Mus musculus: one gene and its partner. The protein of the gene in region 1 interacts with the protein of each later gene in a pairwise test. Links are inferred from orthologs where the notes say so. Each region holds a gene or a part of one and is shown in the gene's direction. Other genes may lie near its edges. The genes, in order: Pogz and Zxdc.

Evidence for each region.
Region 2: the proteins of Pogz (region 1) and Zxdc interact in binary tests that used the Homo sapiens proteins (3 or more experiments, as listed by UniProt). The link is inferred for Mus musculus from reciprocal best matches to the Homo sapiens genes POGZ and ZXDC.

Annotation. Positions count from the first base shown.
Region 1 is NC_000069.6:94,870,001-94,876,525, forward strand, and holds part of Pogz (pogo transposable element with ZNF domain), read left to right. Parts: intron 1-79; coding exon 80-186; intron 187-987; coding exon 988-1,325; intron 1,326-2,272; coding exon 2,273-2,427; intron 2,428-4,593; coding exon 4,594-4,694; intron 4,695-5,099; coding exon 5,100-5,246; intron 5,247-6,525. UniProt on the Homo sapiens protein: Plays a role in mitotic cell cycle progression and is involved in kinetochore assembly and mitotic sister chromatid cohesion.
Region 2 is NC_000072.6:90,398,850-90,405,367, forward strand, and holds the end of Zxdc (zinc finger protein ZXDC), read left to right. Parts: coding exon 1-82; intron 83-1,932; coding exon 1,933-2,034; intron 2,035-3,170; coding exon 3,171-3,257; 3' UTR 3,258-4,637; downstream 4,638-6,518. Other genes in the region: Cfap100 (cilia- and flagella-associated protein 100), read right to left, coding at 5,030-5,143, 6,501-6,518. UniProt on the Homo sapiens protein: Cooperates with CIITA to promote transcription of MHC class I and MHC class II genes.

The DNA of each region.
Region 1 (6,525 bases):
TACTCTTGGCTCTCAGGGACTGTGCAGTCTCATCCCCGTATGCTTTACTAATCTTAACAATTCTTTTCCCTTCTTCCAGTGACCTCTTCCATCCCAGTGTTTGACCTCCAGGACGGTGGACGGAAAATATGTCCACGGTGTAATGCCCAGTTCCGTGTTACTGAAGCTCTGAGAGGTCACATGTGTGTAAGTGATACCACCCATGATAAAGATCCAGCTTAAGTGGCCTCTTCTACATCTTTTAATACTGGAATCTTGAAAAGCAGATGCTTAAACTGGCTTGGAAACTTTTGTAAAAGCTGTTCTTTCTTGTGTTTTGTTGTAGAACAGGGCTATGAAAACTGGGACTGATAAAATACATATAAAGACCGCCAATAGGTGATTGAGCTCTTACTGTCTTACGTGATCGATCTGATCTCATAGGACAGCAAGTTTGTTAGATAAGACCTCAAGGAACGTTTATATCCTCAACTCCATTTTAACTCCATCACTGGGAGTATGAAAACCTGTTACCTTGTCCCTGCTTTATTTGTCGTCATTCAGTTTTCTGGTATCAGTCCAAATGGAGCAGTTGGACCTTCTTTCTCTAGAAAGCTCAGAGTCAAGTGATGCTAGTTCAAGGCTCAAGACGGCGGGAGAGGAGCAGTGAGAGGTGCAAGGCTTGGGGCTGTGTGGACATGGAAAAGAGAAGTGTAAACTCTGGGGCTACTGAAGGAAACGAGATGAAAGCTGGACGAAGACCACCTTAAACCCAGCTCAGTGTGCCGGCAAATGCCTACAGTCCCGGCTACCCAGTAGGCTGAGGCAGAAGGATTTTGTGAACCAGTGGCCTAGCCTAGACAGCTTAAATAAGATCCCAGTGTCCAAAAACATGTCCTTTATTACCTACATTAACAAAGCATTCCAAGGGACTGTAGGTGACATGATGGATTTATTAGCTCATCCTAGTTCCTGGTAAATGGAATGATGATGTCGTTTCTTTTACAGTACTGCTGCCCTGAAATGGTTGAGTACCAAAAGAAAGGCAAGTCCCTCGATGCAGAGCCCAGTGTCCCATCGGCAGCAAAGCCCTCGTCCCCTGAGAAGACAGCCCCTGTTACTTCCACACCCTCCTCTACACCAATTCCTGCTCTCTCACCACCTACCAAAGTACCAGAGCCAAATGAGAATGCTGGAGATGCTGTCCAGACCAAGCTTATTATGCTGGTTGATGATTTCTACTATGGACGGGATGGGGGCAAAGCAGCCCAGCTCACGAGCTTCCCTAAGGTTGCCACGTCTTTCCGATGCCCTCATTGTACTAAGAGGCTAAAGAACAACATTCGGTAAGCTTGAAACAACAGCCTGCACAGAAGTACACAGGTGTTCTTATTACATAGTTAAGGTTTTCTTTTGGGAAATATTAACTATGATGCAGTCTTTCTTCTTTTATGGTTTTTTTGAAATGGGTTTTCTGTGTATAACACTGGCTCTCCTGAAACTCACTCTGTAGACCAGGCTGGCCTCGAACTCAAGAGATCTGTCTTCTCCTGAATGCTAGAACTAAAGGCATTTACCACTACCACCTGACTTAGACAGTCTTGTTAGACTTTTTAGTGGGCAATACTGTTGAATTATTTCATTATGGTAATAAAAGATACCTTTAACTTTGAGTAAGGAACACAGTCTCCTTGAACAGAATATTCTTTTAGTTTTAAGAACTTGTTATCTGGGGGCTGGACAGATGGCTCAACAGTTAAGAGCACTGACTATTCTTCCAGAGCACCTAGGTTCAGTTCCCAGCACCCACATGGCAGCTCAGAACTGTCTGTAACTCCCAGACCTGACACCTCACATATATAGATATGGATGGATGGAGATGTAAGTATAGATGTATACGTAACCAAAACTTCAATGCATGTAAAGTAAAAGTAAATTATTTTAAGAAGAAGTATCTATTAATATGGAGCTGGAGAAAGGGCACAGAAATTAAAAGTGCATTCTGTTCTTATAGAGAACCTGAGTTCAAGTCCCAGCATCCACATAAGGTGGCTCACAATTGTCTGTATCTTCAGCTCCGACCTCCTTCAGCACTTGTATGAATGACCCTATACGCAGACACACAGAAATACACAGAATTTGTAAAGGACCATCTTTCTGGGCTCAGAAAAAGACTCTCCCAAATGGAGGAAGTTGTAGTTGGGGAGCAAATCGTATTTGTTCATAACTGTATCATATCTTTCATCGACTGCTGACTTAGTTTTCTGTACTTTCTCTTTGTGCTGTGCTACAGATTCATGAACCACATGAAGCACCACGTAGAACTTGATCAACAGAATGGTGAGGTGGATGGTCACACCATCTGCCAGCACTGTTACCGCCAGTTCTCCACCCCTTTCCAGCTCCAGTGCCACTTGGAAAATGTTCATAGTCCCTATGAATCTACTAGTAAGTTTGAAAACCCAAACTCCAGCAGAGGGATGGGATCTATGTTTTCTTTGCTTACTAAATGGCACTAGCAGAGAGCTCATTATACCCAGATAATAGTGATAGAGGAGTACTTTTCTCTATTTTTTAACAAGCATAATTTTAAAGTACTTTGCTATTAAATTGGTGTTGTCCGTGAAATAGTAGGTGGTGAGCTAGAATGTTAGTTACAGATTTTACAAAGTAGGAACAACAGCAAACACTTAGAATAACAGAAGTCATCTGCTTAAAACATACATTTGTTGTTTGTTTTAGACACAGGGTTTCTCTGTGTATGTAGCCCTAGCTATTCTGGACTCACTTTGTAGACCAGGCTGGCCTCAAACTCACAGAGATCTGCTTGCCTCTTGTCTCCTGAGTGCTGAGTGAAACATAAGCTTCTATTGAGTTGACGTTTTGAGATGTGAGCCCAGTGTTCAGAGTTCTTTCTTGGTTGGTTGGTTGGTTGGTTGGTTGGTTGGTTGGTTGGTTGGTTTGGTTTGGTTTGGTTTGGTTTTTGAGACAGAGCTTTTCTGTGTAGCTCTGGCTGTTCAGGAACTCACTCTGTAGATCAGGCTGGGCTAGAACTCAAAAGATCTGCCTGCCTCTGCCTCCCAGTCTATTCACCACTCCCACCCCCCATGCTGCCATTAAAGGCATGCACCACCTCTGCCCTGCTTCCAGGTTCTGGAGCTGGAGTTAAAGATGCTTGTGAGCTGCCCAGTGTGGGTGCTGGGAACTGAGCTCCAGTTCTTTGCAAAAGCAGTAAATACTTTAACCACTGATCCGTCTCTCCCTATTCAGAATATTTCTCAAAGGATTGTCAATTTTGTTAAAAATGCAAATTATCTTAAGTATAGGAGCTTATATAATTATAGTATGTAGAGTAAGACAATATTATATGTTAGATTTACAGGCTCATTGAAGGCAGAAGTAGGAAGGCCACTTAGTTCAAGGCAAGCCTGGCCTACATAGTAAGATCCTATCTCAAAATAAGATAATATTACAAACATGCCTTATATGATAGTTATTATGGGTAAGATCATTACAATAGGGGAAAAGATTTTGTGGCCAAGTTTCACAAAACATGGTGATAAACTTTTAGTTTTAAATATAGGAAGGAGTTAGAAAGATTCAGAGGGTGGGCCATTGACTAATAAATACTTAAAACTTTAAGTCTATGTTTATATTTGCAGAAACTTGAAAGACCAGTGGACAAAGGAAAACACAGACAAATATAGCTCTTTTGCTAGCCACACTTTATAATTCAAAATATGAAGCAATTAAAAATTTTACCAAAAATTTAGAATTGTATCCTTTTAAATAAGCTTGACAAATTTCTGAGCATAATTATGTTGAATCTGTTCATACTGAAAGAGAAGTGACATTATATACACCATTAACACCAGCACTTGGGAGGCAGGGGCAGAATGATAGAAATCTGAGTTGCAAGTTTATCTATTATACATAAGCGTTCCAGGCCATACAGGGTTGGGAGGTAAGACCCTGTCACAAAAACAAAAAAGCAAACATCTCTTAGTGTTTGTCAGCCATTTCAGAACAAATTCTTCCTTGTACTTCATGGACAGTCAGTAGATATTTATGAATTATTTATAAATGAAAATCTTTGTTCCTGGGTATAGGCTTAAACTCATGTTGTATTTTGTAGTCAGTTGTAAGGGTTTCTACCATGTTCTTGTCTATCATAACAGAGGTGACAGTGTGACAGTTCTAGGTCACAGTGGGTATGTCTTAAAGAAATAAGAGATAGGAAATGGACAGAAGGCAAATGTGATTTCAAGTTAGGAGCAAAGAGGGAATGTCTGGTTTAAAATGCGAATAGTTCACAGTCTCCTAGACTAGAGCTTTGTTAAAAGGCTGAGTTAGAGAGAGGGATATTAGTTGTCATCAGCAACACAAATGTTAGAGCAGAACCAGTGTACAGATGTGATCTTAAGAGATATGATCTTGCACTTGGGTAACAGAGGCAGGTGGATTTCTGAGTTCAAGGCCAGCCTGGTCTACAGAGTGAGTTCCAGGACAACCAGGGCTACACAGAGAAACCCTGTCTCAAAAAACCTGAGAGAGATGGGGGGGGGGGGGGATCTTACATCCAAGTCTATGTCTCTATGATTTTTCTTCTTCCAGCCAAGTGCAAGATCTGTGAGTGGGCCTTTGAAAGCGAGCCCTTGTTCCTCCAGCATATGAAGGACACCCACAAGCCTGGAGAGATGCCTTATGTTTGTCAGGTAATGAATGCCTTTTTCAAACTGTAAAGAATCCACTAGTGGATATTTCTAAATACCCACTGTACAGCTTCCATTTATGTGCTCTGAAGAGATATGGGAAGAGTAATAGTGCAGCTCCTATAGGTAGGACTTTGTAGAAGATAACACCCAGACAGGGGACTCCTGGCATACCAAGAGCTGTCTCCCGAGCTCCCTCTCAGGATAGAGGATGCTTTTCTGCCTTAGAGAGTATGGGTTGTTCCCAGACATCACAGCTAAGCTTACCATCCACATAGATCTCCAGTGCGAATCCAAGACAGTAACACCTGTGCATTGAAGAATATTCCTGCATCAATCTTTGTTGTTATCTCTCTTTATGGCTCCAGTTGTTCACCTTGCCCTTATTTTCTTTCTTGCATAACTCAGGTGTGTCAGTATCGCTCCTCCCTCTACTCTGAAGTAGATGTCCATTTTCGGATGATCCATGAAGATACTCGGCATTTGCTTTGCCCGTATTGCCTAAAAGTCTTCAAAAATGGCAATGCCTTCCAGCAACACTACATGAGGCACCAGGTATCAGGCACAAGCAGTCCTGTATTCTTATTTGAGGTTTGGATCCTAGGGACAGGGTTGAGATAGATAAATAATGTTGGTAGAGAAGATAATATTGTGTTAGCAAACATCATTCAGTTCTTGTTTCTTCCTACACACTAGGTTAGATGTTAGAGGTTTAGTGTTAAAGGAAAATACACGCACGCACACACACAAAAATGAGGGCTTTGTTAATAGGGGACGATACAGAGAAGCATCTATCTATTCTGGGAACTGAAGGGACATCCAGAAAGAAGTGCTGTTTCAGGTCTGAAGGATGAATAATGGTGGGGAATAAAATAGGACAGAGCCGGTGTGTAGGGAGGTAAGGGGTGTTCAGAGCAAACGGTAGAGTACAAGGTACATGTTGGAAGCTATGTGCAGATAGATTATGGGTGTTCTCCTAGGCTAGGAAAAGGACTCAAGTTCTGCAGTGATAGGTTTAAGATTTTACACTGCCAGCACTAAGTAAACTAAGTCAAAGCTAGAGCAGAGGGGAAAGATTACCCAAAGGCTTTAATCAGGTAGGCGATATTAGTGGTTGTTGGCTTTTGAAGTAAAGAAAAGAGATGGAGTCAAGACGCATTGCTAAAATTATATATATTTACAATGCAGAGATGGGTTAGGTGAGATAACAAGGGAGTAAGAGTGGCTCCTGAAACAAGCACTGCCTTTGTCAGGCTGCAGACTCAAAAACAGCTGTATATAAAGATGTATTAAGCCCCCTACCCCACATTCCACCTCCTGGAAAAGGGGGGGAAAGCAAGAATACAAAGGGGAGTGCTATGTTTTGTATGTAGTCTTTAAAGGGGTATGGCTGGAAAGTCTTGGTGATCGGGTGCTTGCCTAACATAAGGAAGGCCTCAGCTTTTTGCTTGTATCCCTAACACCACTAGAAAGAAACCAAAGAAAGCTTTGCTCTGTGGTTGTTCATATACATAGCCAGTGAAAAGATGTCTGTGGAAATGAACCAACAACCAGGAATTAAAGGCAGACCTAGCAGGTGGAGGGGACAGAATGAGAGTCCAAGTTGTTCTGTTGTTTACTTGACACCATGTATGTTTCTGTGTGCTTTAAAAATCAAGAAGACTGTCCAGGAATAGATAGCAGTCTGCGGTGCTAAGGTGATCTAGGTGAGCAGGCGTGTGCCACTGACCATGCACTCCAAGGACTGACTGAGAACCTGTGTGTCTTGGCCTTCACTTTGTCAGGGTGTGAGATACCAGTTCTCAGTGATAGGCTTTTTCATCTTGAATGGTTC
Region 2 (6,518 bases), on another chromosome or scaffold:
AACTCTCATGGTACCCAGTGGAGGTCTGACAGTGCCAGCCCCTGCAGCTGGGCTGCAGTGTGTCCAGATCCCTGTTCTGCAGGTAGGAACCAGCCATATGGATGCTGAGGTCTACAGGGGCAGGATAGTGGAGGGGTGGCCTCTGCCCTCTCAGTAAACTGCCCCAAGTCCTGTGTCCTGTCCCAGCCATCTTAATAACCCCAGCCTCTCTCTTCTTCCCAGCCTGTCTCACTTCATCTGTGCAAGCCCTTGCCTTTGTTAGGACTGACGTATCAGGTTTGTGGCACTGTGTTACCCCGTGTCTAGTTCCCTCAACCTGGTCCATCTTCCCCACCTCCCTTGGAGGTGCACATGGCGGCATGTGCCTCTGTCCTGCAAAGGCCTGCCTGGGACCTCCTTTGTGCAGGTCAGAGGCATCTAAGATGCCCAAGGTGGCCATGTGGAAGCCTCATACTGCTGTGTTCACACTGTTCACCTCCCCAGAGCCTCCTTTAAGCTCTCCTTTGACTGTTTAGGCCATGCTACTGGGCAGCACTCTACACACCACAGTGCAGGCTCTCATGTGAAAATTCCAGGGCCTCTTTGATTTTTCTGCTTCCTTTCTCACTGATCACTAAAGAAGGCTTAGCCACCTCTTTGGAGGCTCTGCAGACCTGCATCTGACAGCCCATCTGTGGGAACTCACTGCCAGGTCACTTAGCAGCCCCATACATACCTGTACTCCCAGGCTTCCCTCTGAGGAGGTAGATAGAGTAGGAGAAGGAAGAAGTTTGGATGCTGAGAAATCTGGATAATTCTGGCCTGGTCACACCTACATATTGTACACCACTTGGAGGTATAGATGAAACTTCAGAAGGCCAATGCAAACCTAGATGTCGGAGACTTAAGGGTAGAGCTTTTCCAGTTTCTTCAGAGAGCTTAGAGACAGGCAAGATCCATCTGGGAGAGAACCATGAAGGAAAGAGGTGGGACTGGGAGTAGAAGGCTGTGAAGGGCTTGCAGGGTTCAAATAATGGGGGACAGATGGCAAAGGGTAACCTGTGGAGCAGGGTGTAAAAGGGTTCTAGAGAAAAAAAAGATGCAGATGAGAGTTTTGAGGGTAGAAACTCGGGCTTGTGTATGGAAAGGAGCTGAAAATCATGTTCCTCCCTCCTAGTTTGACCCAGTGGGGGAACAACATGTTACTGTGGAAGAGAGAAAGGATTCTGTAGAGATTGGCACAGTAAAAGGAGTGGGAGGCCTGTCCTGAAGGAGCACAACACAGTGTGCAAGTCAGCATACAGAGATCACCCCAAGACTAAGGGACTATAGTGTGAAGAGACCATAGGAAAGATGCCACCACAGGCAGAAAGAGCATGCACCTGGGTATGACTATTTCACCTGTCCCTTGACGACTAGTGTTGTCTTGGGCAAGTGGCCTTATCCCCAGCTTCACTTCTGTTGTCATGAGGTGGAACAGTAGTACTCAGAAGGCCCTTAAGGCAGTGGAAGGATGGGGTGCCAGAGCAAAGGGTGCTCAGTTTGGGGGTAATACGAGCTGTAACTGAGTACACACTTGAGAAAGCAAAACCAGTCTTTCCTGATTGGCTAATGGGGGCCTGCTAGTCTCCTCATCTCCAGATGCTGTCTGCTTTGAGATCTCTGTTTGGCCCGAGGGTAAGCCGGGAACAGAGATAAGGGTAAGCCCCCACCCCCATGAGCTTGAAGCACTCAGGCATCTGTGTGGAATTTAGGACATTGTAGAAGGAAAGGAGCTGTTGGGACCAGGCACGTTTTTTGAGTATTGAAATAATAAACATAGGGGAGGCAGACAACAGAAGATTCCAGACTCAACTGAACCTTGGACTAGGCTCAAAGTGAGTGAGATGGAGGGGCCATTGCTCCTGCTTCCTGCTTACCAGTGTGTAATAATTCTTGATGTTGTCTCCCCAGGATGACCCCTCAGGTGAAGGAGGCTTACCACTGGGCCTCAGCCCACAGCGCTCTGCCTTCCACCCCTACTTCACCGTGGATCTGCCTGTCTACGTCCTCCAGGTCTGGATGTCTACAGTTCTTGCTCTTCTCGTAGAACTCATCCCAGGTTTCCCATGTCAGGAGGTTGTAGCATGGTTTAGAAGCTGCCACAGACCTGCCCTGGAGGCCCATTGGGTTGATGGTCACTCTAGCCACTTTGTAATTTTTTTAAAAGGTAGTCAGGGTCACAGCTTCAAATAAGGCTTGCTTGACACTACAGTGTCTTCTTGTGGACCAGATAAAACATAGTATGCCTGGGACTACTGCACTCTCTGGTTCTAAATTCTCCACGAATGAGCTACACCTACATAAGTTCAGTAGCTAAGTGAGGGAGTAGGTAAACAGAGAGTAGGTAGTCACCAATGCAGATCTAGGTGGGAATGAAAGTCATTTTTCAGACTGCAGCCTACCTCAGGGATGTCTGTACCACTGTTTTAAGCCCTCAGAGGACTTCCTAAAGAAAGGAAATCTGAACCAGATGTCATAGACATAGTTGCACCCATTAACCCAGATCAAGGCTGGAGAACTGTGAATTTGAGGCCACTTTGGCCACATAGCAAGGACCTGTCTCTAAAAACTGAAAGGAAAAGGGAGAAAAAAATATAGGGTGGCGGGAAGAGAGCAAGAGGCTGTGAGGGAGGCAGGGAAGATACAGACTACCAGTGACCTGCAACCTGCGCACTGCGGACTGGATTCCAGCAGGAGAGTGATGGCTATGCAGCCGTGGCCATCTCCCTGGGCAGCCTGCCCACTGCATGCTGGGTACAAGAAAGAATGAGCCATTTTTTTAACAGAAGAGTACATGGGTGTTTGAATATATATGGAGCCATCAGTAGGCCTTTAGAAAAGTATCTGGGAAAAATATCACTGTTTTAGTTCTTTTTATTTCTTTACTTCTTTTTCTTCCTTCCTTTCTTTCTTCCTTCCTTCCTTTCTTCCTTTTTTTAAGATGGAGTCCCCCTTTGTAGCCTACACTGGCTGGCCTGGAACTCACAGAGATCTGCCTGACTCTGCCTTCCTTGTACTGGGATCAAAAGCTTATGCCACCATTATCTGTCACATTGTTCTTTGAAGAACATAAGGTGTGGGCCACATCTCTGCTGAGCCTTCCTCTTCTCTTCTTGCCCTACCCTCTACTTCTCTGCTTGGTTTTACAGGAGGTGCTTCCAGCACCTGGAGGTTTTGCTGGACTGGAGACTGCACAGGTACCAGGAAGTACTATCAACCTGCGGGACCTTGAGTGACAGCAGTCTTGAGCCAATGAAGACTGAATTCCAGGCTGTGCTTCAAGACCTCAGCTGCTGTGGGTGGGCAGAGACTCATTTCACTTCCTCAGCACTCCAGCCTGATTCTTTGAGACTTTGGGGTACACATATTGAAAGTACTTTGATTCTGTTCCAGCAAGAGCCAGTTTGGGCTATACTCTTTGAAACTGCCTCCACAGGTTGCCCTCTGTGATAGGCACCCTGCCCATGCCGTGTGTGTGTGTGTGTGTGTGTGTGTGTGTGTGTGTACACGTGCGTGCACGCACGCACATGCATTCCAGCCCTTCCCAGGTCCCCTTGGGTCTGACGTGGGTAGCACCTTTTACATTAAAAGATCCTTGCAGGAAGTGGGTAGAGCATGGCTCCCTCCTCAGGTACTTCTCTATACTGAGTTGTAGTGTATTAGGATTTGTCTGACACATTCTGAGAGCTTATATAACAGCTTCTCACCTGTGGGAATGGTTTTGGTGGGTGTATTGCTTTCTCTACACTGTATGCTGTAGTGAAGCCAAAGTCAGGTTGAGCTCTGGCAAAACATCTAGTCTGAAAGGTGATTGGCTGGCCTGCCGCCTGCCAGTAGCCTGCTAATAGAACCTCTTCCTAAATTGACAGTGTGCTCATAGTTTGTGAATGAAGAGTTCGGGCTTTTAAAGTCATCTTTCTAAATTCTGTTTCTGGAATTCATGGTAAGTAGTAACTTGTCAGCAGTCTCTACAGTGGAGTTCTGAATGCTTTATGTTATGTGTAGGGCTGGAACAATAGGCTTGTTTTATGATTGAGGTTGGAGATAAGCATATTATGTGGCCTTGTGTGTTTTCACAGAATGATTTGGTCTTCCCCGTGGAGACGGTTGGTTGCCTTGCACATATTTGTTAGTCAAGACTGGATACAGGGTCACTCAGCAATGCTTTGGGCTTTTGATGTGTGTGCTTATTCAGATACTGTTTTGATTCTGTCCCATCTGAGTTGCTTTGTTTCTTGGATTTGGGGAGAGCTCTGAAACTGGGCATGAGTTTTCTCTGGATGCTACCTGGGTGCTGCTCCCTACAAAAGGATTATAAATCCTACTTGAGAAGACTCCTTTCCACATGTCTCTCCTGCATCACAGGCCAAAGTTTAGGGGTTGAACTTGCCTAGCTGTAATCAGCGCCCCCATAGACACTCAGTAGGCAGCCTGGTACCACTGTCGCCTGCCTCCAGAGCCCACCCCACAGAGAAGTTGCTCCAGCAGCTCCCACAGCCTCCAGCGTGTGTCTGCAAGTGACAGGATGGGCTGTTGTGCTCTGAGCTCTGGAGCTTCCTGCTGCCATAGGCCCAGTCCTTAGTGCAAATGAATAAAAGTGTTCGAATGTTATGTGCAAAAGCTTTTGCGCTGCTTTCATTCAAGGTACTATGCGTGGTATTGAGACTCTTCCCACTGCTTCCCAGCTGGCTACTTGCTCGTTTGTCTCCAAGAGCCAGCACCATCCTGCCGTCCTCAGGGACAGGTTTGAGACTTCTCCACGAGCAGCTGTTTGTGATGACAACCGGCACAGTGCTCTATCCCTCAAGCACATGCTTTGGATGAAATGACAAAAGGGGCTCCAAGAGACTCCCTTCAGCAGGCCGTTCAGACTCCCAAGAGACATGGTTTTATTTCCTGTAAGGAGGCTGACAGGAAAGTATGAGATGGAGTTAGGAACCCCTCAGGCTCACAGTCCCTGTCTGCACTTCCTGCTGACTTCTTCCCGAGCCCACAGCCAGCTCTGCTGCTAAGTGAAGAAGAAGAGCATCTCCTCCTTGTCCTTGTTGATCAGCGTCTGTTCACGCACCTCCTTCACTTTGATGACTGGTGGATGGGAACGGCTTATCAATTTCCGGCCTCTCTGCAGGAGAAATAAACATGGTGAGCCTGTACTAGCCACGTACGTGCCGTGCTCCCCATGTCCCCTGCCATAAGGTGCTTGAAGAGGCCAGCAAATCTAACCATGCAAACCAGCCACTCAAGGGCCATACTGACTAAAGGGACCTAGAATGTAGACCAGCCCAGCAGGTACCGTGCAGGCTCCATGGAGCATACCTTTTGAGGGACAAGAGCTAAAGCATTTCTGAGCTCAAGGCTTCCATGGGAGACCCTGCAGTGTGACAGGTTGGCCTCTAAAAGTCAGTGATCACTCTATAAAAGCCCAATCCCATACTTTTCAACTCTCTCTTGAACAGAGTTAAGCTGTCTGTGCTGTATCCAATAGACCTGGACTGATGGTCCTAATTAGTCCAAGTTCTTCCATGCCTTTGTCATATACACTGTGTTGGACTAAATTATGAATGTGAGACTTGCTGCCAACTCCCCTCATCCCCCACAGAACTTAGTTGGCTCTTACTTTTGTTCTTGGATTTGCTTGGGAAGGTCCTCTGAAAGTTGCTCTCTGAAGAGGCTCCTCTGCCCTGCCATCCTTCTCATGGCAGTGTGTGTTCTCCCTCGCCCCCTCTACCCCTCAACCCCTTCCCTTAATGAAGTTCCTCTCCAGGAAAGAAAAGCCCTTCTACTAAGAAGGCCCTGTTACATTTAGACCTCCATATATTGAACTATTTCTGTGTAATGTTCTCCCTGTCATCTGAGTCTTGATAATTGCCTGGAAGTCTCTCTCCTAATGAGCTACATCTTCTGAAGGGAACTGTGTGGCAGCTTTCTTTCTGAACTAAGCACTAGGATGTTTAGTAGTATCTTATTATTAATAGTGTTCATCTTTCCCAAATAATGGCATGGGCAACCATGTTTCATAGATGCCAGCCAGCTCCTGCTTCTCAAGAGGCTATGCTTGGCTCCAGATATGCTTCCAGGACACATCTAGAAGGCATAAGGCTGCCACAGTCCATTTTTCTGTGGGGTAAGGGCTTGAGGTCCAGAAGGCACATGCCTAGCAACAGGCAGTTTGCTTGGCCCCAGGTCTGTCTGAGGGTTGGACAGAGAGAGCAACAGGACCTTGAGAGAGACTGGATGTTGGTTTGAGTTCTGTGGCAAGGGTGCAGTACATCTAGGAGGTTGATCCTGGTGAGGAGGACAGCCCCTATGACAGGAACACTAGAAGTGCCTGGCTTTGGAGAGACTTCTCCACTCCAGTTTGGCACTGCATGCAACTGTCTGTTTCTTCAGCAGAGTGATTTGCCTGCAGAGAGGCCTTGGAGCTCGGGCTGGAGAGCCTGAAAGGTACACCCTAGAGTGGCCCTGGCACCACCCCTTACCTTCTTCTTTATTTTAGC